Tamandua tetradactyla: one gene and its partners. The protein of the gene in region 2 interacts with the protein of the main gene of each other region in a pairwise test. Links are inferred from orthologs where the notes say so. Each region holds a gene or a part of one and is shown on either strand. Other genes may lie near its edges. The genes, in order: SRGN, UBQLN1 and TRIM23.

What was found.
Region 1: the proteins of UBQLN1 (region 2) and SRGN interact in binary tests that used the Homo sapiens proteins (3 or more experiments, as listed by UniProt). The two-hybrid records come from large-scale screens. The link is inferred for Tamandua tetradactyla from reciprocal best matches to the Homo sapiens genes UBQLN1 and SRGN.
Region 3: the proteins of UBQLN1 (region 2) and TRIM23 interact in binary tests that used the Homo sapiens proteins (3 or more experiments, as listed by UniProt). The link is inferred for Tamandua tetradactyla from reciprocal best matches to the Homo sapiens genes UBQLN1 and TRIM23.

Annotation. Positions count from the first base shown.
Region 1 is NC_135339.1:28,093,697-28,101,528, reverse strand, and holds the start of SRGN (serglycin), read left to right. Parts: upstream 1-3,056; 5' UTR 3,057-3,182; coding exon 3,183-3,258; intron 3,259-7,832. UniProt on the Homo sapiens protein: Plays a role in formation of mast cell secretory granules and mediates storage of various compounds in secretory vesicles. Required for storage of some proteases in both connective tissue and mucosal mast cells and for storage of granzyme B in T-lymphocytes.
Region 2 is NC_135328.1:116,705,127-116,712,958, reverse strand, and holds the start of UBQLN1 (ubiquilin-1), read right to left. Parts: upstream 4,984-7,832; 5' UTR 4,895-4,983; coding exon 4,715-4,894; exon of another isoform or gene 4,426-4,714; intron 1-4,425. Other genes in the region: uncharacterized protein LOC143673720, read left to right, coding at 4,984-5,359, 5,690-5,745. UniProt on the Homo sapiens protein: Plays an important role in the regulation of different protein degradation mechanisms and pathways including ubiquitin-proteasome system (UPS), autophagy and endoplasmic reticulum-associated protein degradation (ERAD) pathway.
Region 3 is NC_135335.1:113,427,849-113,435,680, reverse strand, and holds the start of TRIM23 (E3 ubiquitin-protein ligase TRIM23), read left to right. Parts: upstream 1-2,489; 5' UTR 2,490-2,565; coding exon 2,566-2,646; intron 2,647-7,832. Other genes in the region: TRAPPC13 (trafficking protein particle complex subunit 13), read right to left, coding at 1,820-1,865.

The DNA of each region.
Region 1 (7,832 bases), on a different chromosome or scaffold from region 2:
ACCTGCTGAGCCACCGTGGCCCGTCCGCAAGTTCCCATTTTTAAATTAAGAGATGGTTTCTTGTTTGTATAGATTCCAAAGAAGACAATACCTTTTTTTAATCTTTTTTTTTAAACATGGGCAGGCACTGGAAACTGAACCCAGGTCTCTAGCATGGCAGGTGAGAACTCCGCCTGCTGAGCCACCGTGGCCCACCCACCTGAGATAATACCTTTTTAAAAGGATGATTTTTAAAAACTTTCATTGAAATTCTCAAACATGTATAAAAGCAGGGAGAATACTATAATGAACTTGCATTTATCCATTTGCTCAGCTTCAGCAATTATCAACCCACCACTCATCCCCTCTCCTTAAACCGGATTATTTTGGAGCAAATCCCAGTCATCTAATCATTTCAAACATAGTCTTAGCTTCTCAGTTGTTAAATAAATACCAAATGATGGGTTGGCTTAAACAAAGTTTTAAGGCTAGGAGAAGTCTAAAATCGAGGCATCAGCAAGACAATGCTTTATCTCCAAAGACTGGCGCTCTGGGCCTGGCCGCTAGAGATCCTTGGTTCTTGGCTCTTCTGTCACATGGCAGTGGACATGACTCTTTTGTCCAATTTCCTTTGTGAGATGAACTTTAGCCATATTGGATTAAGGCCCATACTCATTCAGTTTGGGCACACCTTAACTGATAGCATCTTCTAAGGTCCTCTTTACAAATGGCTTCACATGCGCAGGACCAAAGTTGGAATATTAACCTGCCTTTTGTGGGGAACATGATTTAATCCCCAATACTACCTTAGGTGTGTCTAAAAGGAAATGATTAAATGGAAGACTTTTGATTGTTTAAAATTTTGTACCCCCTTCATTCCTCTCTTTTATTCAGTGGCTTATAAATTAAGAAACTTGAGTTCTCGTCTTGGTTTTGCCATTCACTAGCTGTTCTGTGTGACCAGGGGCAAGTCATGTAACTTTTCTGGACTTGGGTTGTTTCCCATGAATAGGAAAACTAGATGATTTCTAAGTTCTAGATCTAAAATTTTTTGCAAGGATTGTCTTTTAGGCTTAAGGGACAGATTTGGTACAAGTTCAATCTGCTTTTTTTTTTTTTTTTTTTTGGTGCAATGCCCAGTTCAGATTGAAGACCTTCTGAATAAAGAGCCAAGAAAAAGTCCTAGAGGGAGTTTCCTGGTAGAATCTTTCACTTGGGCCTTTAGAAAAAGAAGTGAGCCTTGAAGCCATCCCTGGAGCAGCTGTCTGCTCCCCTCCATCTCTCTTCTGAAAACCTCAATTCATCTTAACAAATATTCTGCTGAAGTGAGACGCTGGGAAGGTTCATGCTCTCTACACAGATTCACCGTTTACAAAGAACACTCTGAAACCAAAAGCTAGTGAAAAGCGATGTTGATAACTCCTTTTTGGTGGTTATATTACTTTCTTAGACAATGAGGAACTCATTTCTGCCATGTTGCAGGGTGATTGTTAAGGAATAAGGTTATACATTTTACAGGCAAGTCAGTTGAATGTGAAGTCAAGTAGGTGCATTTAAGGTTGCCTGGCATGTGATGGGTTAATTCTGGAATAGATTTGGTCTTTCAAATTTATGGAAAACAAGCTTTTAGAGAATGGAGAAAACTTTGGGCAAGAAGCTGATATGCAGCCTGGAGGAGCGCTGACCACTGCACCCTCGCCCTGGTTTCTCCCACCCTTGTTAGCACAGTGGAAGTGTGAAAAGTTAGGCGGCCGGCCTCACCCAGCTGGTAAGTAAGGGAAACAGGCTCCGACCCAGGACTCCTGGTTGCTGGTGTGCATTTGTTCTGCTCCTCTGTGCTTGAGAAAGAACGAAGGAAATGAGCCTGGAGGGAGTGTTCTTAGAAAAAGAAACATTTGTCATTGTGGTGGAAGAAGGGCAAATGCTTATGAATACTGCAAAGTTTGGTTGTTTTTTTTTAAATCACCAAGACTGAAGAAAGGGAAAATGAAGTATCCAAATGGGAAAAGCCCCCCTCCCCCCACCCCTACCCCCAGTTACCATTTTGAAGCACAAGCTTTAATAGCTCTAAGAGTTTACTAGGGTACTTATTGAAGCTTATTGACAGGAACTATTGTTTTGGTGCCTAGGTTTTCAATCGGGGGTTAGAATGAAAAGTAACTGAAGACGTTATATATCAGGTGGAAACCGATATTCCAGAGAGGGGAGTTCGCTGGGCTTGTGAGTTGGGGGTTGCTGCACTCTGAGGAGTCCCGGGATTGCGGGATACACTTATGCATGGTTCTGGGAAGGCTTATGAGGAGGGTTAAAATGTGCATTCTTTGCCTCCTTCCACAGCTACTCAGTGATAAGATTCTGAGGCCTGTCCTTAGCAGGAAATGGTAAAGGAAGTCTAAAACAAGAGAAGGGAAACTCCTCCCTCCTATCAAAGAACAGGCAAGAGTGTGGAGGAAAATGGAAAGTGATGCATATGTACTAAACTGTCTGGGGGAGCTGGAGGGACAGATGGGACTGAAATAAAAAGTGACAGAATACTGAAAGGAAGTAAGAAGAAAGTGTGTCCCCAAGTGATAAACTGTTGTATTTATCGTGTTCATTAATATGGAGTCTGTACCGGGTAATCCTGGGGGACAAGGCTGTTTCTTTATTTGAGGGGTGGGGGTGTGTCTTCTGAAGCCCAGCAGCTTGGTTCAGTGAGCTGTGCTCCTCTTTGATGAGAAAGAAAATCGAGAACATTTTCTGTTGAAGGTGCTCAGTGATGAAGAGTTGGTTAGCTCCTTATCTCATCAATAGGCAGTAGAGTCTTCATGTTAGCAATCTCCTGTGTAGGTTGTGACCTGAAGAAAGCAAAAACAAACTGCCCTGAATGCTGATTCTACTGTTTCGGTGGGGAAAAAAATTTTAACAGGCAAGTGGCAAACAACAGAACTTTTGAAAAAACCGACCTGGGGAGAGTCCAGTACAGTTTCATAATGGGTATGAATAGTTGTTTTGCTGCTGCTGCTTTTTTTTTTTTTTTTTCTTTTCTTTCTAGATTTTCATGTGGATCTCTTTTTATTTGTTCAGGAAATCGTGACGTGCGTTCTGGGCAGGGTTTGAGGTTTCGGAACCTTGTCTAAAAGGGACAGCAAGCACTCTGCTTACGGTTCCTGGTCGTGGGGTGGCTGTGCTTCGGCGGGGCCAAGCGTGCTGTGCTGGTCACCATGCGGGGCTTCCTCTCCAGCAGCGGGCTTGTCCTGGCCATCTCCCTCGTCCTGTTTTGGGAATCTTCAGTTCAAGGTAAGATCCAGGATTGGCTGTTTTTCTTTGTGAACTCTAGCCCCCATATAAATGTTTATATTCACACTAACGTACAGAATTTTTCATATTGTGAGAACGTAAGTGGGGTTTGGGGTGGCTGATCTCCTTGGAGTGAGTTCAGCTAAGTTTGGTACCAAGAAAAATTAAAATTCTGAATGAAGCAGGTGCAGCCTTTTGAGGTCTTGCAATGGCTGAGCTTTATTTGGGGATGGAAATGTGTGGCTTATAAAAAAGCTTAAGAAAGGAAGATAGAAAATATCCCATGTGTCTGTTGTAAGGAAAAGACGGCATCTTTGAGTGTTTTTGGAGTATCTATATACCTACCCCTGAGTTTCTATATCAATTCCGAATTGTACTGCATAGTGGTGATGTCATTTATTTTAACACTGGGAACTACTATTTCTTAATAGGGGTGAGTTTGGCTTTTTCTCCTTTCAATTTTAACTTAATTCTTAGTGAAAAATCACCTATGGTTATACATACATAATTAATGCAAACTCTCTCAAATTTCAAATAATTTTAATATTTGCTCTGGTGCTTAGAGAAATATCACATTTGGAAATTTCTTTTTAAGTTTAGAGTTACTTAGGCAGAATCTACTTAAAAACCTTCAATGACCAAGAAAACAAAAATGGTCAATTTGTAAGAAGAATATAATTTCTTCTCTGTAAACAAGGGATCATGTCTAAGTAAGGCAGAAGGTTGTGGTCTGCTACATAGATGGCAGAATTTATAGTAGAAAAACATTAAGTTCCCCCAAGATGTAAAGGAAATGTTGAGTCACAGTGACACACATGCCCAGGATTTTTTTCTTTGAAGTAACTTCTAGTTGTCATGTTCTTACTTCCGCTGGAAATGAAATCTTGTAGATGATTTCAGATATACATTCATTATATATTAGAAGCTTTAATTCAGTAAGTAATGTTACTGAAACTTTTCCATTAATTTGTATATATATATTTAAAATATAAAACTTTGTCAATTGTAGGGAACAGGCTTTATTTGTATCTTTTGGGAGACATTTTCAGCTTTTTTGATGAAAAAATTTCCTAGAACCATGTGCTCTAGACAAGATCAAGAACAGTGGGATTCCCCTATGAAACGTATTCCTGAAAGGACAGGTTAAGCCTACTTAAAATTAGGCCTGTCACCCCCCAGAGAACCTCTTTTGTTGCTCTGATGTGGCCTCTCTCTCTAAGCCGACATAGCAGGTGAACTCACTGCCCTGCCCACCACACACAGGGCATGACTCCCAGGGGTTTGGATCTCCCTGACTACGGGGGACAGAAATCCTAGAATGAGCTGGGACTCAGCATCAAGGGATTAAGAAAACCTTCTCGACCAAAAGGGGGAAGAGTGAAATGAGACAAAATAAAGTGTTAGTGGCTGTGAGATTTCAAATAGTCAAGAGGTTATCCTGGAGGTTATTCTTTTTTTTTTCTCTCTCTCTTTTTAAAATTTTTATTAATAAAACCAGTCAACATACAATATGAACATTCTTTTTTTCATCACATAGTTGTATATTCATCATCATGATCATTTCTTAAAACATTGCATCAATTCAGAAAAAGAAATAAAAAGAAAACAGAAAAAAAATTCATACATACCATACTCCTTACCCCTCTCTTTCACTGATCACTAGTATTTCAAACTAAATTTATTTTAACATTTGTTCCCCCTGTTATTTATTTTTATTCCACATGTTCTACTCGTCTGTTGACAAGGTAGATAAAAGGAGCATCAGACACAAGGTTTTCACAATCACACAGTCCCATTGCGAAGGCTACATCATTTGGGCGCACAGGTGGTTCAGTGGTAGAATGCTCGCCTTTCATGGAGGTTATTTTTATGCATTTTATAGATATCCCTTTTTAGTTAATGGTGTATTAGAGTGGATGGAGGAAGCACCTGAACTGTAGAGCGGTGTTCCAGCAGCCTTGTTGCTTGAAACAAAAAATGTTCCTTATGTTTCATTATAAATAAAGATGAAAAAAGAAACCAAAGCAATATGAAATTGTATAAAATACTGGCATTTATATCATCGCTTGGTAGATTTAGATTTTTGTTGGAAAAGAAAACTGAAAAAGAGGCAATAAATGAGCTGAAGAACTAGGGAGGTTCCAAAGGAGAAGCTTCCTTCGTGCTGTACTGACAGGTGCCACCATCTGAATGCTAAAAGGAACAGATGCCCACAGCTGCCTGTAGGAGCCACAGCAACACACAGCGACAACGCCAAGAGCCATGCCATTTCATCATACATCCTCGAGGCGCCAAACATGATTTGACGATTCTTCCTCAACTTTTTAAAAACAATTCTACTCAACCCGTTGATTTGGCTGAACTGATCATATTAATGAGGCTTATGGGAAGGCACTGGGAAATGAACTCTGGTCTCCAGCATGGCAGGCAAGAATTCTGTCTGCTGAGCCACCGTGGCCTGCCCGTAATTTGCTTTTACTGAGCATATTCAAAGCGTCTTATGTCACTGTAAGGCAATCCTAAGTAATAACCTGGGGCAAAACCCCGTCTACCTGTTGCAAAGTCAAATACAAGTGTGGCAATGTGTGTGAGACCCGGGAGAGCATAGGTGTCTATTTAATTTAGAGCTCAGAGGAGTATTGATAAGGCTGTAAGTCTTAAACTCTAATTGAAGTTCTTTTCTTCAAAGATGAACATAAAGAGAGAAAATGGAAAAATCTATGATTGCAGCCTCAGGACTCAGGGCCAGACCAAGTGTCCACCCGACTTGTCTCCTAGGTCACAGTGCTGTTAGTAATTCCCTACACAGGCCGCGATGTCTGCAAAGTGACCACATCCTTGCTTGGGGATGATCATCACATTCCCTGCAAGGAGGAATTTAGCACCAATTTATGGACAAGAGAACTGGTTGCTACACCCATCATTTCATTTCTTCTTTATATTAATCTCATGCAAAAAGTTTAAGAGACTTGCCTAAGGCACCCAACAGTTACTTAATGGCAGAGTTAAGGAACTTTCCGGCTGCAATTTGGCCTTCCCTAGACAAAAAACAAAAAGCTTTCCTTTGACAATAGCCCTGCCTGTGATGTTTACCCGTGAGTTGAGGGATAGTAGGGAGAAATTGAAAATAGATTTCCACTCTTTTTATAATTTTGTCAAACTGTGCAAATGTTGGGGAGTCTTATCTACTTTTAGGCAAGTAGGTAGCAACTAAGCTATGATGCTGTTCTTTACATGCTACTGTTATGAATGAATCAAAAACGGTCTTTCTTTAGGATTGCAGTTTCTGCTTAAATTTCTCTGTTATGCGTGCAGTAATTCTTCCTTAAGGTAAGAAAATTAGTAAATTGGCACTATGGGGAAAATTTGGTACTACAATATAAAAAGATAAAGAGACTACTGGGGAAAGCTGTTTGCCCCGGTGACATTTCCTTATAAAAAGTATTTTGGTAAAACAGAACTAGTGACCTTTGGGGGTGTGTGTGTGTGTGGGAGGGGGGCATTGAGAATAGGGATTCTCATTAAAAATCATTCTTTCCCCTGGAATCCACCACAAAATTAACCAGCATGTGCTATAAACGGGACCTTTCTGTCCAAGAGCATACTTCCTTTTTATTTTTAAAATTAGGATAATCATAAGACATTTTCCTCAAGCAAGGTGGAGTCAAGATATTCTCACATTAACAGACAGTGCCCGTTGGTGAATTTTCACATGCTGGCCACTCTTCTCAAATAAATATCTCAGGAATTTTGTGTTTTAAAGAACATTTAAAACCCTTAGTCCCAAATTAGGCTTTCTCGCTTTTATTTCTTTATGTTTTAAAAGCTGAGATTCTGAACTCTGGGGGGATTTTGTATTTTAGAAAAAAAAATTTTTTTAAAGCATACTCTACCAAAACTATATTTGTTGTACAAATGGAGAGATGTGGTCTTTTGCCTGGATGCTTCTTCATAAAGTATCAGTTTTAGTCTTCTGTTTCACTTCTTACCCAAGCAAAAATTTCTGCTGCCTGATATTCAGTTAAGCAGCAGCCTGCAGAGGACTGTCTAGCCCTGCGCTGTCCATTCAAGGTGGCCACCAGCCGCGGGTGGCTCTGGAGACTTGAAAGGTGGCAAGTCCAAACTGAGATGTGCCTTAAGTGCAAAGTATACACCAGATTTTGAAGATGGAGTATGAAGAAAAGATGTAAAATAGCCCATTAATAACTTTTCTATTGATTATGGTAAAATGGTAATGGTATGAATATATCAGGTTAAATAAAATACAGTGAAGTCAAATTTTTTTTAGAAGCAACTACTAGAACATTTAGTGGTTCATCTTGTATTTCTACTGGACAGTGCTGGTCCAGACAGCACAGGCTGTGAGGACATCGCCCTCTGCTGGAGGAAATATCCGACTTTTATCCCAGCCGCAGGAGCTTCTGAGCCGGCGCAGTAACGCTGCCTCAGGAGAGATGGAGGGAAGGAGAGAGAAACAAACTCCAATCGTGTGAAATACCGTGTGCAAGAGGCCCGGCGAGGTGCTTCACATACTTTCAGTCTCGTTTAAATGGGAACTCTTTGGGATGTTATTA
Region 2 (7,832 bases):
AGCACAAATGGCATCTCAGAATTATTATGAAAATAGTTCTGATCTCATGGTCCCTTTAAAGAGTCTTGGAGACCCCGAGACCACATAGAGAACTGCAACTCAAGTGATAAAAGGCCAGGCAATCATAAGGAAATATCATTTCACACTCACTAGGATAGCTATAACCAAAAAGACAGATGATGAGTGTTAGAGAGGATGTGGGAATACTGGAATCCTCATACACTGCTGGTATGAATGTAAACTGATCCAGTTGTTTTGAAAAATAGGTTAGCAATTCCTAAAAAAGTTAAACATAGAGTTCCCATACAACCCAGCATTTCCACTCCTAGGTATACATTCAAGAAGTGAAAATATATGTCTACACAAAATCTTGCACATGAATGTTCACAGCATCTTTATTCATAACAGCCAAAAAGTGGGAACCACCCAAATATCAACTGATGAATATAAAAATAAAATGCAGGATTACATCCATATAGTGGAATATTATTCAGCACTAAAAAGGAAGCATTAATACATGGCACAACATGGATGAACCTTGAAAACATTACACTAAGTGAAAGAAGATATCATAAAGGACAATAAATGCTATTATTCAATTCATAACAAATGTCCAGAAAAGGCAACACTACAGAGACAAATTAAATGACTGGTAATTGCCTAGGACTGGGGCTGCTGGGTGAAGGATGCCTATGGAAGAAATGGGGGCCAACTGTTAAAGGGTACTATATTTCTTTTCGGAGTGACAAGAATGTTCTAAAATCAATGGCTGCACAACTAAAAAAAAAAAACTGTATTGTATACTTTAAACAGGTACAGTGTATACTATGTGAGTATATCTCAAAAAAGCTGTTTTTTAAAATTGGCAAGCAATCTGCTAATCAGAATCACTAAATAAGAATTTCTCAGCAGCCTAGTATTACAGTAAAGCAAATAAAACACTGATCTCAGACACTCTTTCCTTAAATGTTTTACAACAACTGATTCATTCCAATCTTCTGGATAAGGGCCCGTGCAATAGAGATATAATGCAAGTCACATATTTAATATTAAACTTTCAAGTAGCCACATTGAAAAAGTAAAAAGAAATAGATCAAATTAATGTTCATTATTTTTTATTAAATGTAATATGTCTAAAATATTATCACTTCAATATATAACACATTTAAAACTTAATAAGATATTTCAAGATATTTCACATTGTTTTATTCATAGCAAGTTTACAAAATGTGGAGTATATTTTACACCTATAGCACATCTAAATTCAATTCCATCTAGCCACATACATATTAAGTGCCCAGTATCTGTATATTACTGGTAATACCAAAGTAGACAGTAAAGTTCTTTCTAGATCAACAAAACAGATTTTAACTTTAAATGATGTTTGTGAGACACTGTAACTGCCCTTATGGAAGAAAGGTTCAATCAGATTTAATACAGTACTTATACTTTGTCTAAGTACAGTAATATTTTTTCAAGAATTTCAAGTGACAGAGGTTTTCTAAGGCTGTATTTTATATCTAAAATATAGCTTGCCTCAATATTTCATGTAATTGTATCTCAAAACTTTACACTATAATCTAGAGGGCTAAAAAGTCCAAAAACATACTAATTGGAGGTTATACAGAAGCTCCCCCTCCATTCTCTGCACCAACTTTCATCACACACACACCATTTCGTTTGTTGACATTATGAATTCTCAAAGCTGCTTCTAATAGCAAATAATGATTAACAGAAAAACAATCTGATACACAGGGACTTTGTGCCATTACATTTATCTGCTTACTTGTATTATGAAAATTCCTATTAACGAAACTACCTTTAAACATGTGTGGTACACTTTATATTTTAATTTTAAACTTCAGGAAGTCATATTTCAAAAGTCCCTTTACAGAGAAATTTAAAAGTTACTCAATGATTGAGTGCTCAGTGAAAAATAAATTTCACTTTAATACCGAAAAAAGCGATAAGCTTTATTATCAATTTTCAACAAGTAACATTTATTAAATACCAACTGTACATGGCACTACATACAATTAAGGTAACCTGTTTCTACTTGTTGGTTATACAAACATAAACTAAGAGAAAAATAGGAAATAAGTTATCAACTTACAACTTCTTTCCTACAATTTACCTAAGTTTTATATTACCTTAGTATGATATATTTAAAAATTTACATTACATAGAAACCTGTACCGAAAGATTTTAAATTGTAGAAAAGATTTGCCCAATAGAAAGCAAAAGACATCGATATTAAGCTTTGAGAGACTCTGGCTTACCCACCTCCCCGACAAGACAAAATAATTTTCAGAACCAAATATTTCCCAATTTTCTACTGAACATTTTAATGGACTCCTAATGTCTTTAGGTATTTTTAAATGACAATTTTTAATTAGACAAATAGTTTAAATCTATAAAATGCTTTTAAAAAACCTTCAAATTACAGGTCTTCTCTTACGCTCCAAGTAGCTTTTTAAAAAGAAATAGAGCATCTGAAAACTGCTCTTCTTATACCTGCACATTTCCTTATATATATGCTTCCCTTAAAAGAGTCCTTACTTATTTCAACCCATCTTCAAGTTCTTAAGGATCAAAGTGGTGAACTTCACTTTTTACCATTTTTCTGCTTCAAAAGAAAGCACTTGGTAAAAAAAAAAAAAAAAAAATTAACTGCCATCAGAAAAGTGACTTTAGAAAGGTTTTAACTTTATTAAAAATTTGCTTTGGTTACAGGGAGGTTAAAAAAAAAACTTCATAGAATTTAGAATTCTAACTCCACCATTACAAAAATTAAAAACAGGGCAGTGCAACGTGGCTCAGTGGCAGAATTCTCACCTGCCATGCCGGAGACCCTGAGTCCAGATGCCTGCCCATGCTCCGACCCACCCCCCCCCCCGAAAAAAAAGCAAAAACATCCTTACATACACATCATAAATTGACCTAAATGAATTTTTCTACTTAGAAATGGATAAATAAATTACAGCATAGTCATATAATGGAAAACAACAGCAATGAGAAGGAACCACTGATAACACAAAAATGAATCTCAAAGGGTACATACCATATGATCATATTTATATCAAGTTCTAAAACAAGTAAAACTAAACGACGGTGAAAAAAAATCTCAACAGTGGTTGATGGAAGGGGAGAGTGAACAGAGCAGGAAAAAGGAGGAAGGAATTTCATGGTCAATAATTATGTTCTACATCTTAATAGGAGTCTGGATTACAGAGGTGTATGCACCTGTCAAAATGTATGGAATGTAACGCCCTTTTATGATTAACTGCATGTCAAATTTAGTTAAAGAAATACATGTAAAAAATACAGAACTCAAGTTAATCATATGTACATTGCTGAAGTACTTTTTCGGGGGATATGTACTGATACTTGCAACATACTTGGAAAAGCATCCAAAAAATAAGATGGGCCAATAAATGATTTAGATATGTGATAGAACAAATATAGCAAAACGTTCATTGTAAGAGATGGACATATGGGTGTCAGACATATGATTCTTTCAACTTTTGTGTGTGCTGGAAAGTACAAATTGTTGAAAATTCCCATATGAGCACTGTGAGATTTAAAAAAAAAGTGTGGTTCAGATAGTGATAAAAGTTTCTCAGTTGATGTTACTACCTACACTGTTTTGCCTCACAGACCACAACACTTTATGGAACGAAATAAACCAATAGTGCAATCCTGTACTTTCCACCCAGAAGCTGCTTATAGGCAAATCTCAAGAATTGTTTTCCTTCATTAACTGTTCACACTGAGATAGAGACGAATTCAATTAAGAAAAATATCGAGGATATACCCGACAATGAACTAAAACAATTTGAATTTCATCGATTCTTAAAATGTCTGCAAAATCTGTATTCTTGTACAGACTTTAAGAAGTAAATTTGGCAATATTTCCCATTAACTTCAATTTTATTTTCTTTTATCCAACGCAATTGCCAAAATCTGAGTAACGCCGCTAACAAATAAACTTATCCCAGAATAGCATCTAAGACATGATAAATATACTAAAAAGAAAACAGTAACTCATCAATGAATGAAAGTCACTCACTTTTTTCCTTAAGACTAATACTATTGAGATGCTGCTGGAAACAATTTATACGTCACAGCCAGTATTTTAAAAAAAGATTGGAAGGTGGGAAAGATTTCAGCAGCCAAATCTCAGAACCAAACATGCACGTGCTCCTTACCCAGACCCAAACCTACCTTAAGCCCGGAGGCAGCAAAAACCACAAAGCACTCCCAGCGCCCCCCCACCCCTTTTTTAATTCAAGAAAAAAAACTAGAGTCAGGAGTTATAACCCTCGCCTCCGCCCAGCCTCCACCCCGCTCGAAGCCAGGCGGCGGGTCCCTTCCCTTTGTGAGGAGCTGGAGGGGAGGCGGCTGGGGGCGGGGAGCGAGAGGGGAGGAGGCTGTGGGTCTGTGGACGCAGGAGGAAAGCGCCGAGGGAAGCGGCGTCCGCGCGTCCCACAAACAGGCCGCGCGACCCCGCCACAAACCTCTGTGGCATCCCAAAGCGCAAACCCGCGGACATAGGTGTGCTCTCGTTTGGGATGAAGCCAAGGAGAATGGCCGAGAGCACTTCCTGGGACGACCCTCTCTTCAGGCCCCTCGAAAACCGTCTCCTCCGACGGAGGCTACAAGTCCTGCCGCCACCCCCACTCCTGCTCCGGCCCGAGCCCCAGGCGGCCCTCACCTGCTGGACGGAGCTATTTTCGGGCACGGCGAATTCCTCCTTTTCCTTCGGAGTCTTCACCGTGACTTTCATGATCTTAGGCTCCGGGGAAGCAGCGGTCGTGGGAGTGCCGGTGCCTTCCGCCGCAGCGGCGTTGTCCTGCGAGCCCGGAGGGCCGCCGCTTTCACCACTCTCGGCCATGGCGGCTGTGACTCAGGCGAGCAAGGAGGGAGCGGGCGAGCGATGTGGAGCCAGGAGACGCCGCAGCCGACCGGCCCGAGCAGCGGATAATGCGGAACCCACCGCCTCAAAGGCAACCGGCGCAGAGCCGCCCTAGCGGGCGAGGAACCACGGAGCTCTGTGTGAGCTCCGACTCAGACCCGGGACGCACCTCAGCAGCTGTGGTGTGTTCAGACGCCGCTAGTTCGCAGCGATATCGGCAGCCGCCGCCGCTTCCTCCTCCCCGCCCCTCCCCCTACGTCCCTCCTCCTTCCTACGCCAACGCCGCGCGGGGCACATTGGGAAACGCAGCTGGCGGCGGCGCCGAGTCATTCTGGGCAGTCGCTGTTGCGACTTCCAGGTGCTTTTCTCTTTTTCTCACATTCCATGGCCCCAAATATAAACGTGTCAGGAGTGGAAGACTAACAGCAAAGTGGTATGTGTTAGGTCAGCTCATTTTTTTTTCACTTTCACAAAAAAATAAAAACGCGGGCTCTGAAAGGCGCTGTAAGGGCACACGAAAATGACGTCACGGGCTGCGAAGTTACTAGAAAGGGAACTTGACCAGTGGCGTTGCGGCCGCGGGTGCGCGTGCGTGAGGGCAGTCCGGGGAGCGTTCCCACTCTCTTACTTCATGTTTCCTTGGTTTACCGCACCGCATGTTGCCTTTTATTATATGCTTCGGGTTTCCCGCAAGGAGATATTTGTAGTTATTTTAATTTGCTAAATTTTTTTATACCTGGAAGACTTGAACTCCGTGATCTTATTGCCTTGTAGGAGGGAGTAGAAAGGTCCCCGTCATAACGAAAGAAAAACGGAGTAAACGCCTGTAAGCAACCTGCGCAATCCAGCGGAGTCATGGCTCCACGCCTAAAGCATCCTGCTTTGACGTCAGCCAGGTATGGTCAGAGGATCATACCACTTCTATTGACAAAGTGACTTTTGCTCCCGCTCTGACAGTGCTACACGAGCGCACTGAATTCTCCGTAAACACTATTCCCCAAAATGTTTGGGGCAAAACAGAATGCCCAAGGAATGCCCACTCAACTGGGACAGTTTAACGGAGCTGAGGTATTCATTTTATAGTTCTCTAGCAAGTTGTTACATTTCATACTTTTCGGTGGTTTTTATGGTAGATCAAAAATAATTTTCAGTGTAATTTAGGTACAAATAATAGGAAATTTTGTTCCTGAAAACCCTAAACTTGAAGTGATGGCATCATTTACCCTTAAAGATGATTTACGAGTATACAATACAGTGCATAAACTTTAGTAATCAGTACTGCACAATCGTAAACTCTCTGTGACCCAAATATGCAAAAAATACATCCTGCATTTCTGTTCTTGAGCCAGCAGTCCTATTATGGGAATAAGTACTGTTGCATAAGGATAGTTTTATAGTGGAGCCCATTTGGTTATAAGAGAAGTTCTGAAAGTACAAATTGCCGTACAGACATTATCTGATAAAAGCTAAATTTCTGGCAGCATTGTTGTTACGTGCAGAAATTACACAAGACCTGAGAAGGAGACGCATGACTACTTAACTATGTCCAGGTATGAGTTAATCACGACTTCTCAAGGTAGAAAGTTCCACCATTGGACAGCGAATCATTTGGAACTTCTTCCATATATTTAAACAAAATATCTTCCCAACTTTATTAGCTCCTCATTGCCTAGTTTTTCCTGCCTCTGCTGTATCTTGCCTGTATCTTTTGTCTGGACTGTCTCCTTTGCCTGGAATGACTCCCCTTTTCTTCATCTTCGTAACTTCTGCTCATCATCCTATGTCATATTCTCCAGGAAGAATTTACCTCTTACCACTTACATATTAGGTGTCCTTTTTGGTGCCCCAAATGAATAACCGTGTGTAAATTTCTAACCTTGCACTTAAGAAATTGCTTCGTAATTGTTGACACATTTATTTCTTAAAATTCTAAGACATATGGCACATTTTATGAAGTAATATTTTATCTGTATGAAAATACAATATAGTTATCTATCATAATCAAGTGTCGGTAAACTCTTTCTGTAAAGGGCCAAATAGTAAATATCTTAGGCTTTGTGGGTCATATGATCTCTTTCTCAAGTTCTGAACTCTGCCGTTGTAGCACAAAAGCAACCGTAAATGAATAAGCATGGCTGTATTCCAGTAAAACTTTACTTATAAAAACAGTGTGCTGACTCCTGGTGTAGATGTCTAGTTAAAGCATTTTCTTCTAAATGGGTTTTGTTTATTAAATAGTCAATATGGAGAAAAATTGTAAGAGCGTATTTTATTCATTGTACAAATGTGAATTGAGTACAAACTCTCAAATACTGTTGAATATCCAAAGACAAATAAGAAGCAGTCTCTACCCTTAAGTATTATTATGGGTGGGGAGATAGGCAGTGGTGTACTAGTACTAAATGTCTATTATGAAATGTTTAGTAACTGACTCTGAGAAACAAACAAGCCTTGATTTGTAGTGTTTGCCAATTTCCTTATGGAAAATACAACATGGCCAATGTCAGTCTACCAACTTGAGCTCCGCTGGCTCACAAAATTCTGGAAATTTTAATAATCAGTTCTCACAAGCCAGTGTGAGCCGACCCTGACATACCACTGTCCCATTGTGAAAAAAAATCCATTCAAATATTCATACTTCAAGTATATTGATAGGATGTTATTTTTCACATGATAGAAGAATTCTTTGACAAAATGTAATCACTCAACAAGAATTTCTTGCATAACTTCTGGGAAACTTTTAATACACTCATCTTGTATCTAGGAATTTACATAATTTCAGCGCAAGGCAGTACCTATGTCAAATAAGTGGTGTAGGTCATATGCATTCATCATGTTTACCCTATTCAAAATCCTTAGTAAGCACTCCAGTGCCTGCCAAATATAGTCCCAGCTCCTTAGCTTGGAATTCAAGGCC
Region 3 (7,832 bases), on a different chromosome or scaffold from region 2:
AAGAATTAATAAATACTGTCATCTTTTTCTTGCCCCTTCCTTATGATTTCTCATGGTAGGTATGGCATTGAGGATTCCTTCACTGTTGTCTCAACTTATTCAGTGTTGTCATCCAAGAACACCTGAAGTTGTGAGAGTTCCTTTTAAATATCTAGATTAACAATATATTGTCTTAATATTTTTCGTATTAAAATATAAGAATGCAAAGTCAAACGACAAATGTATTTGCATTCAACATCAGTAAAATTAATCTTGTGAAAATTCGTTATTAACTAGGACAATAGAAAAGAATGGCACCAAAGAGCTTTGATAAAGCTGAAACTATCAGTGAATTTCAAAGCACTCATCTTTCTAGGCTGCTTGAATACTCTTTTCCAGATATTTCCTGTTCTGGAAAATACAAGAATAACAGAAACCTAAAAGTTCCCAATGGCAGTTAGCCTCTATATTGGTGAATTTCAACTGTATTTAACAGCTCCTAATTTTTATAAAATCCACTCAAAAGCTAATAGGCTTGTTTCAGTGTTGCATCCAAGTAATGGGTAAGGCAATAATCTCTGAAAATACTATTTCTTAATTTAGGAGGCAACACAGTATCTTGGAAACTGGGAACCCACCTTGTGTTGAAATACTGGCTCAGTCACTTAGCAGCTTTGTGATCTTGATAAAGATACTCAGCATATGATTTGTGAGATTAAGAGATAAAGAACACGACAATTGGTTCCTTTTTCTCTTTTCCCTTTTCTCCACCTATATCCCATTCCAGTCCATATCATTTGCTCAGGCTAAGCTTACAGGTTACATCACTATGTTATTTACCATTGCAGAGCTTCCTTACTTCAACAGTTAGAGGGTTCCATTAACTCCCTATGTTACCAATGGAACTGGTGAGCTTCTGGAATGTTTGTTGACTGCAGCATAACAGGGGAATGCCTGTTATGATCCCTCAAAATGGATGCCATAAGGAAGATAAGTACAAGTCAAATGAATTAAAATGCCCATTGAGCACTTGTGTAGCTCAATCCAAAAATGTATCCACATATTAGAGCATCTTAAAAATAAAAAGTGCATTTGTGATAGTAAAAAACATGAATTAAGGCCGGAAACACTTCAAATAAAAGGTCTTCAGAAACCAATAGGAATTCCAGGAAAACCTTAAATTCCTGCTGTTTTTTCTCTTAAATAATGACCTAATTAAATCGTTAAACTTACTCAAAAATTGTTTTTAGGTGTACAAAAATAGAAAATTGACATGAGATCTTGGACCTATTTCCCCTATACATAATGCTTTGAAATAAAGTAAGTTTTAACAAACCTCAGCTATATGGTGTAATACTGTGTATTTCTAAATCCTTGGCACTGTTGTCATAATACTACACTAATTTTACAGAAGAAGCTGCAGCCCGGTAACTCTGTCAGTGCCACACGAAGAGACCTGAGACTATGAAAAGCACTTTGGATGCACGCTGTAAATCACCCTCGTTCAAGGGGGAAATCACCAAACAGAGTCCATACAGCAGGTTCTGCGGTTAAATTCTGCTTGATGATCGCACGGGCATGATCAGAGAGGGTAATGTACGAGGTGTCATTCCATTCTAGAGGGCGGCTCTCAAGCCTAAAAAGCGAAGAAGCGAAATCGCTTCCTCCCGCTCGGTCCCTTGGCGCAGAGCAGGAGGCACAGCCCTGACGCCGTTTTAAGAAAGGCGAGGACTACACCTCAGACGCCAAGTCTACATGTCAAAGGCTTCAAGAATCAGTGAGAAAAAGGAAACAAACAAACAAAAATAGAATAAGGGGCGTCAAGTTAGCAATACTTTACCCTTCAACGCCAGCAGGTGCTCCTGTTTGGGGGGATTCACCTCCATCTTGACCGGTACCACCGCCTACGGGGGCCGCAGAGGTTCAGCCCGGCCCAGAAGAAAACACGGAAGCGCGCGCTCGGGAAGCCCGCGCGTCAAACACTTCTAACAGCTTCTCAGCCAGCGGTGCCTTAAATTCTCCCTCTACCCCGTTCTTTAGGGCTCCAACAGCTTCTTTTCACCAAAGGTAATCCCTGTCTCTTAGATATCTATACATGAAATACTTCTCCATATTCAGGCTACAACCGCATATCAAACCACTTCCAGGTAACCATACACCGCCGCCCAGATGCCCTCCCCAGCGAGTAAGCAGCGAGGCGCGGCATGCTGGGATTTGTAGTTCTTATAATGCCGCATTGCATTTAGGGGAATGTAGTTCCTGCGCCCGGTCTGGCAGTGGGGACGAGACTTCTTTACAAAAGCGCAAGTTTCACTCACAGATTTTACTTCTGTCTTATCCCATCCTTTTTTCTTGACTTTCTTTCCCCTAGCAGGTGCACATTCCTTAATACCAGTCAAACAATAAAAACAGAGCGAACAAAACGCGGCGCGCGGAGAACCGGTCCGCGGCCGCCGGCCGGGCGCGCGCAGCGTCGTCCCGCGCCCCACGCCGGCCGCGGTCGCCGAGGCGTCTGGGTAGGTGGCTCGCCTTCGCCGCCGCGTTGAAGCCCGTGAAGGCTGCTTCTGCCGCTCCGCTGCGCCCAGGATGGCTGCCCTGGTTGTAAACAAGCCCGGCGCAGGTCTAGACAGCGGCCGGCAGGGCAGCCGAGGGACGGCCGTGGTGAAGGTGAGGGACCTGGCGTGCTCTGTCCACCGTCGGCCTCCGTTTCTCGGGGCTCGTCCCGAAAGCCTGGCCCAGGCGTGGAAGGGAAGGGTGCGGGGCCTCTGCGCCCCCCGGGCGTGCCGAGCCGTGCGCTGCTCTTCGCGACCCGAGGTCCGCTGGCCCGAGATTGTCTGGTCTCCTGCTCGGACCGGCCCTGTGCTGGACGTCGCCAGCGGGGACGTTTCTGAAAAGGAGATTGTGGGAGTGACCCGAGCTGCCTGTGCCCGGGTTTTGGCTTACCGTAACAGGCATTAGTTCGCTTATTGTTTATTAAATTGGGATATTGTGAGGTAGTGTTAGGTGCTTTCGGTCGTTAATATCTGTGAGGCCGATGTTGATCCCCGTTTTACAGATGAGGATTTGATTTGGGGTAGGTGGCAGTGTGCGGTAGAGCCAGGGTTGGCGGCTTCTGAAGTGTGCACGTCTCCCCGCTGCACTGGTTCTGTACTGCGGTGTCTATTCTTGGTTGAACTGCCTCCTCCGCACTTGGTAGTGCCGTCCGTCCGCGCTTAAGGAGTCTCCAGTTGCAGCGTTGCACGGCCTTAACGCTAGTGTTTGTGAATTACGGTGTGTATGTAAGTAGTCCAAAATGCCTTTGTTAAAAATCCGCCTGAAATACGTGGGACTCATTTTTCCTCTTGGCATGTATCTATCTATCTATATATGGAATTGAAGACTTGATTTCAGTGGCTGTTAGAGAGACCTTCAGGATCACCTGAAATCTAAGGAATTGGTATTTCTCATCCCTGGCTGCGTATTAGAATCACGGAAGAGTTTTTAACAGCTGCAGATGCAATCCTCCTTCCCCAATGCTGATTCATTTGTTATTAGCATCTTTTTAAAACCCGCTGAGGAGATTGTAATTGCAACCAGGGTTGAGAACCACTGGGCCAGATAATATCTGAAGTTATTTTAAGGTCTTGAATGATACCTGTGATTTTTCACCTAATGTTTTTTTTATGACAGTAAATGATGCATTTCTGGCCACAGTTTAGCATTAATCAGTTTTAGTAGTTGATGATTTATGTAACTGTTATATACTAATGAAGTTATTCTGAAGGTACACAGCATAACCGAGATGTAGATATTATTACTAGGCATATTGTATGGTTGAGATTTTATTTATTGTGCTTTTTCTGAGGGCATACCTGCAGATTATTTTGAGAATCAACTTTAAGAAATTTTATACTATAACTGAAATGGGTATCATTGCTCTATTTTTGTTATCCTGTTATAATATCAAAAGTATACTATAGTCTGATATAACTCCAGTTTGTTATAGCACAAATTGAATTTCTTAGAGTCTTATTTTATTCATTTTGTTCTTTAAATGTAAAATATATTGGTCCCATGCACGAAGTAGACCTTTTTGGCAAGATGGTCATGCCACAATTCCTAAACAAATATGGTGCTATGAATTTAAAAATCTTTTTATCATTTTCATAGATGAATGTAAGAAGTATTCATTAATACTTAATACATTAATACATTAAAGGTCAAGCGTAAAATACTAATAATATATAACATGGCTTTTTTTAGTCTTTTTTTTATTGTGATAGTATATATAACACAGAAGTTCCCATTTTAGCCATTTTTAAGTTATACTGTACTAGTATTAATTAAATTCATGTGCTACCATCGCATTCATTCATTACCCAAACTTTTCTCCCACTCCAAACAGAAACGTTTTACACATTCTTTCTTTCCTTAGCCCCAGCAACCTTTGATCTACTTTCTGTCTCTATGAATTTGCTTATTCAAGATATTGCATGTAAATGGAATTCTATCTTTGCTCCTTGTGTCTGCTTGTTTCACTCAACATAATACTTTCAAGGTTTATCCAGGTTGTAGCAAATACATGTAGAATTTCATTCCGTTATATGGTTGAACAATAGTTTGTTGTACTTATATGTCATGTTTACCCACTCATCTGTCGATGGACCCTGGGGTTGTTTCCACTTCTTGGCGATTGTAAATAATGCGGTTGTGGTCTCTGATTTCAATTTTGAGTCCTTCTGTAAGTTGTTTTGGGGTATCCATTGGACTGGAATTGCTGGGTTATAATGTTAATTTTATGTTTAACTTTTTGAGGAACCCCCAGTCTTGGCCGCAGAGAGTACACTATTTTAAAGTCCTACCAACAATGTATAAGTATTCTAATTTCGCCATATCCTCACCAATTTTTATTTTCTCTTCAAGTAATAAACATCCTAGTTTGTGTGAAGTAGTTGTGGTTTTGATTTTCTTTTCACTGGTGACTAATGATGTTGAGCATCCTTTTATGTGCTACTTGTCCTTTTATATATCTTCTTTGGAGAAATATCTGTTTACGTCCTTTGTTCATATTTTGATTGGGTTGGTTGTCTTTTTGTTGTTGAGTTGTAGCAGCAGATATGTGATTGGCAATTATTTTCTCCCAGTCTACAGGTTCATTTTAATTTCTTGATAATGTGTTAATGTACAAATGTTTTAATTTTGATGAAATTCAGTTTATTTCGTTGTTGTTGTTCATATTTTTGATGTCACGTCTAAGAAATTGTTCCCAAATCCAAGGTCATGAAAGCTTTCCCTTATGTTTTTTCCAAGACTTTTATGATTTTTCTCTTATATTTAATATGGTTTCTTGCTTAATGAACAAGTTGACAATGATAGAGTTAAAACAAAGACATTAAAATTAAATAATTTACATTAAAAAGAAATCCCAGAAAGTTTATTTTGATTAATGATCCTTCTTAGTACTTTTTATTTATTTTTTAAGATATTTGTACTGAGAAATCTTCACACGTATACAGTCCATCCATAGTACACAATCATTGGCTCACAATATCATCACATAGTTCCTTATTCATTACCATGATCATTTTTAGAACTTTTGCATTTCTCCAGAAAAAGAAATAAAAAGAAAAAGGAAAAAACGTATGCATCTCATACCCCTTACCTCTCCCTCTTACTGACCATTGGTATTTCAATCTACCCCAATTTTTTTACCCTTTATCCCCCATGTTATTTATTTATTTCCTTATTTTCTTATTTTTTAAATTCATCTGTCCATATCCTGGTTAAAAGGAGCATCAGACACAAGGTTTTCATAATCACATGGTCACATTGTAAAAGCTATATAGTTATACAGTCGTCTTCAAGAATTAAAGCAACTGGAACGCAGTTCAGCAGTTTCAGGTACTTCTATCTAGCCACTCCAATACATCATAAATTTAAAAGAGATATCTATATAATGCAGGATAAACTTGATAAACTCTTGACTCTTTTTGAAATCTCTCAGCCACTGAAACTTTTCTTTGTCTTTTCCCTTTTGATCAAGAAGACTTTCTCAATCCCATAATGCTGGGTCCTGGTGTATCCCTGGAGTCATGTCCCACGTTGCCAGGAGATTTACATCCCTGGGAATCATGTCCTGTGTAGGGGGGTGGACAGTGAGTTCACCTGCTGGATTGGCTTGGAGAGAGAGGACACATCTGAACAACAACCTTCTTAGTACTTTTAAAGTCTGGTCTGGTTTATGAAAATTTTATTTACCTGTTGATAGCCCTCTTTAGCATGTTCGTGAAGTTTATTGATTTATAAAATTAGTAGATTTTTTTTTATATCTAGGACCTAATTTCTTATGCTGTTAGCCATAATTCCTATTTATAAATACTGAAGAAAGGATTTCTTGCTCTGCTATTTATCAAATTGATACAAATAGTCTAGTAATCTTGTTTTTGGACCTGTGTTTGGTTTTCTAAGTAATGGAATTTTATTCATGTTTTTTGAAAAAATTATGGTAGCAACATAATTTTTTTTATCTTGTTTATTGATGAGGTCAGATATGTAAGATATTAGTTAAGTATAAATGAACTAAGTAAAATTTTTATTTATTTCTTTGTAGTCTATTGTCATAGATCAGTTTGATTTATATCACAATAAATGAAAATATTTATAAAACTTGTTACTTTTATTTCATAATACCTAGTTCTATTGTGAATATCTTTCCTGTATTTAATTCAGTTTGAGTGGGAATAGATAGATGTTTAAGTAAACTTTTTGTCCTCTTTTTTTTAAATGTAAGATAAATTGAAGTGTATATGTATAATATGTATAATTTTATGGGTAGCCCTTCCCCAGCTACTCATATCCCTTCCTCATATGGAGCCAAACTTTTCTATGTATTCTTCTAGAAAGACTTAAGTATTTATGCTCTCTCTCCTGCACCTTACACAAATTAAATATATTCTGTATACGGATTTTTACTTTGCTTTATTCATGTGGAAATCGTTCTGTACATGTACATAAAGAACATCTAACTCTTCCTCATTAGACTGCATAGTTATATCCATGTGTATTTAAGTTGTTTCTATTCTTTTGCTAATACAAAACTGTTATAAGGAGGGCAGGCCGAGGTGGTTCACTGGCAGAGTTCTTGCCCGCCATGCAAGAGACCGGGTTCACTTTCTGGTGCCTGCCCGTGTGAAAAAAAAAAAAAAATGTTATGGGGAATAACCTCGTATAGAGGCCTTGTCACAGGCAAGATGTATTTGCAGTTAAATTCCTGGAATTGAAATTACTGAATTATTTAAACTTCTGATATATATATATAGCCAAATTGCCTTCAATAGAGACTGCATCAATGAATGAATATTTCATAGCAACCAGCAGTGTATGAGTGTCTGCTTCCCGCACTTTCACCAACACAACGTGTTATCAGCCTTTTTGATCTAACCTGAAAAAAGATATCTTGGTGTAGTTTTAACTTCCATTTTTCTTATTGAATGTCTTTCATATATTTAAAGAGTATTTTCATTTCCTTTTCTGTGAACTATGTGTTGGTATTTAGACTTTTTTGACCCATACTGAGATGCCAGGCAACCATGAATTGTCAATTTACAATGAAGGATGATTGATTTCAAAGAGTAAGGCCAAGTTAATTGTAGAGTTAAGTTTAAAATGTTAATGGATTTAGTCAGGATATTCTTTTTTTTTACTTTGCTTGTATGTGTGTTGGGGTGCATAGAGGTGGTTCTAGCCAAATTGTTTTTAAATTTTTATTTATTAGAAGACTTTATTTATGTGGGCACATACTAGGTACTTTTGTATTTGTATTTCAGAGACCCTGTTTCTGAGGGCTGTCTGGTTGAGCAGAGAAGGACAGGCTG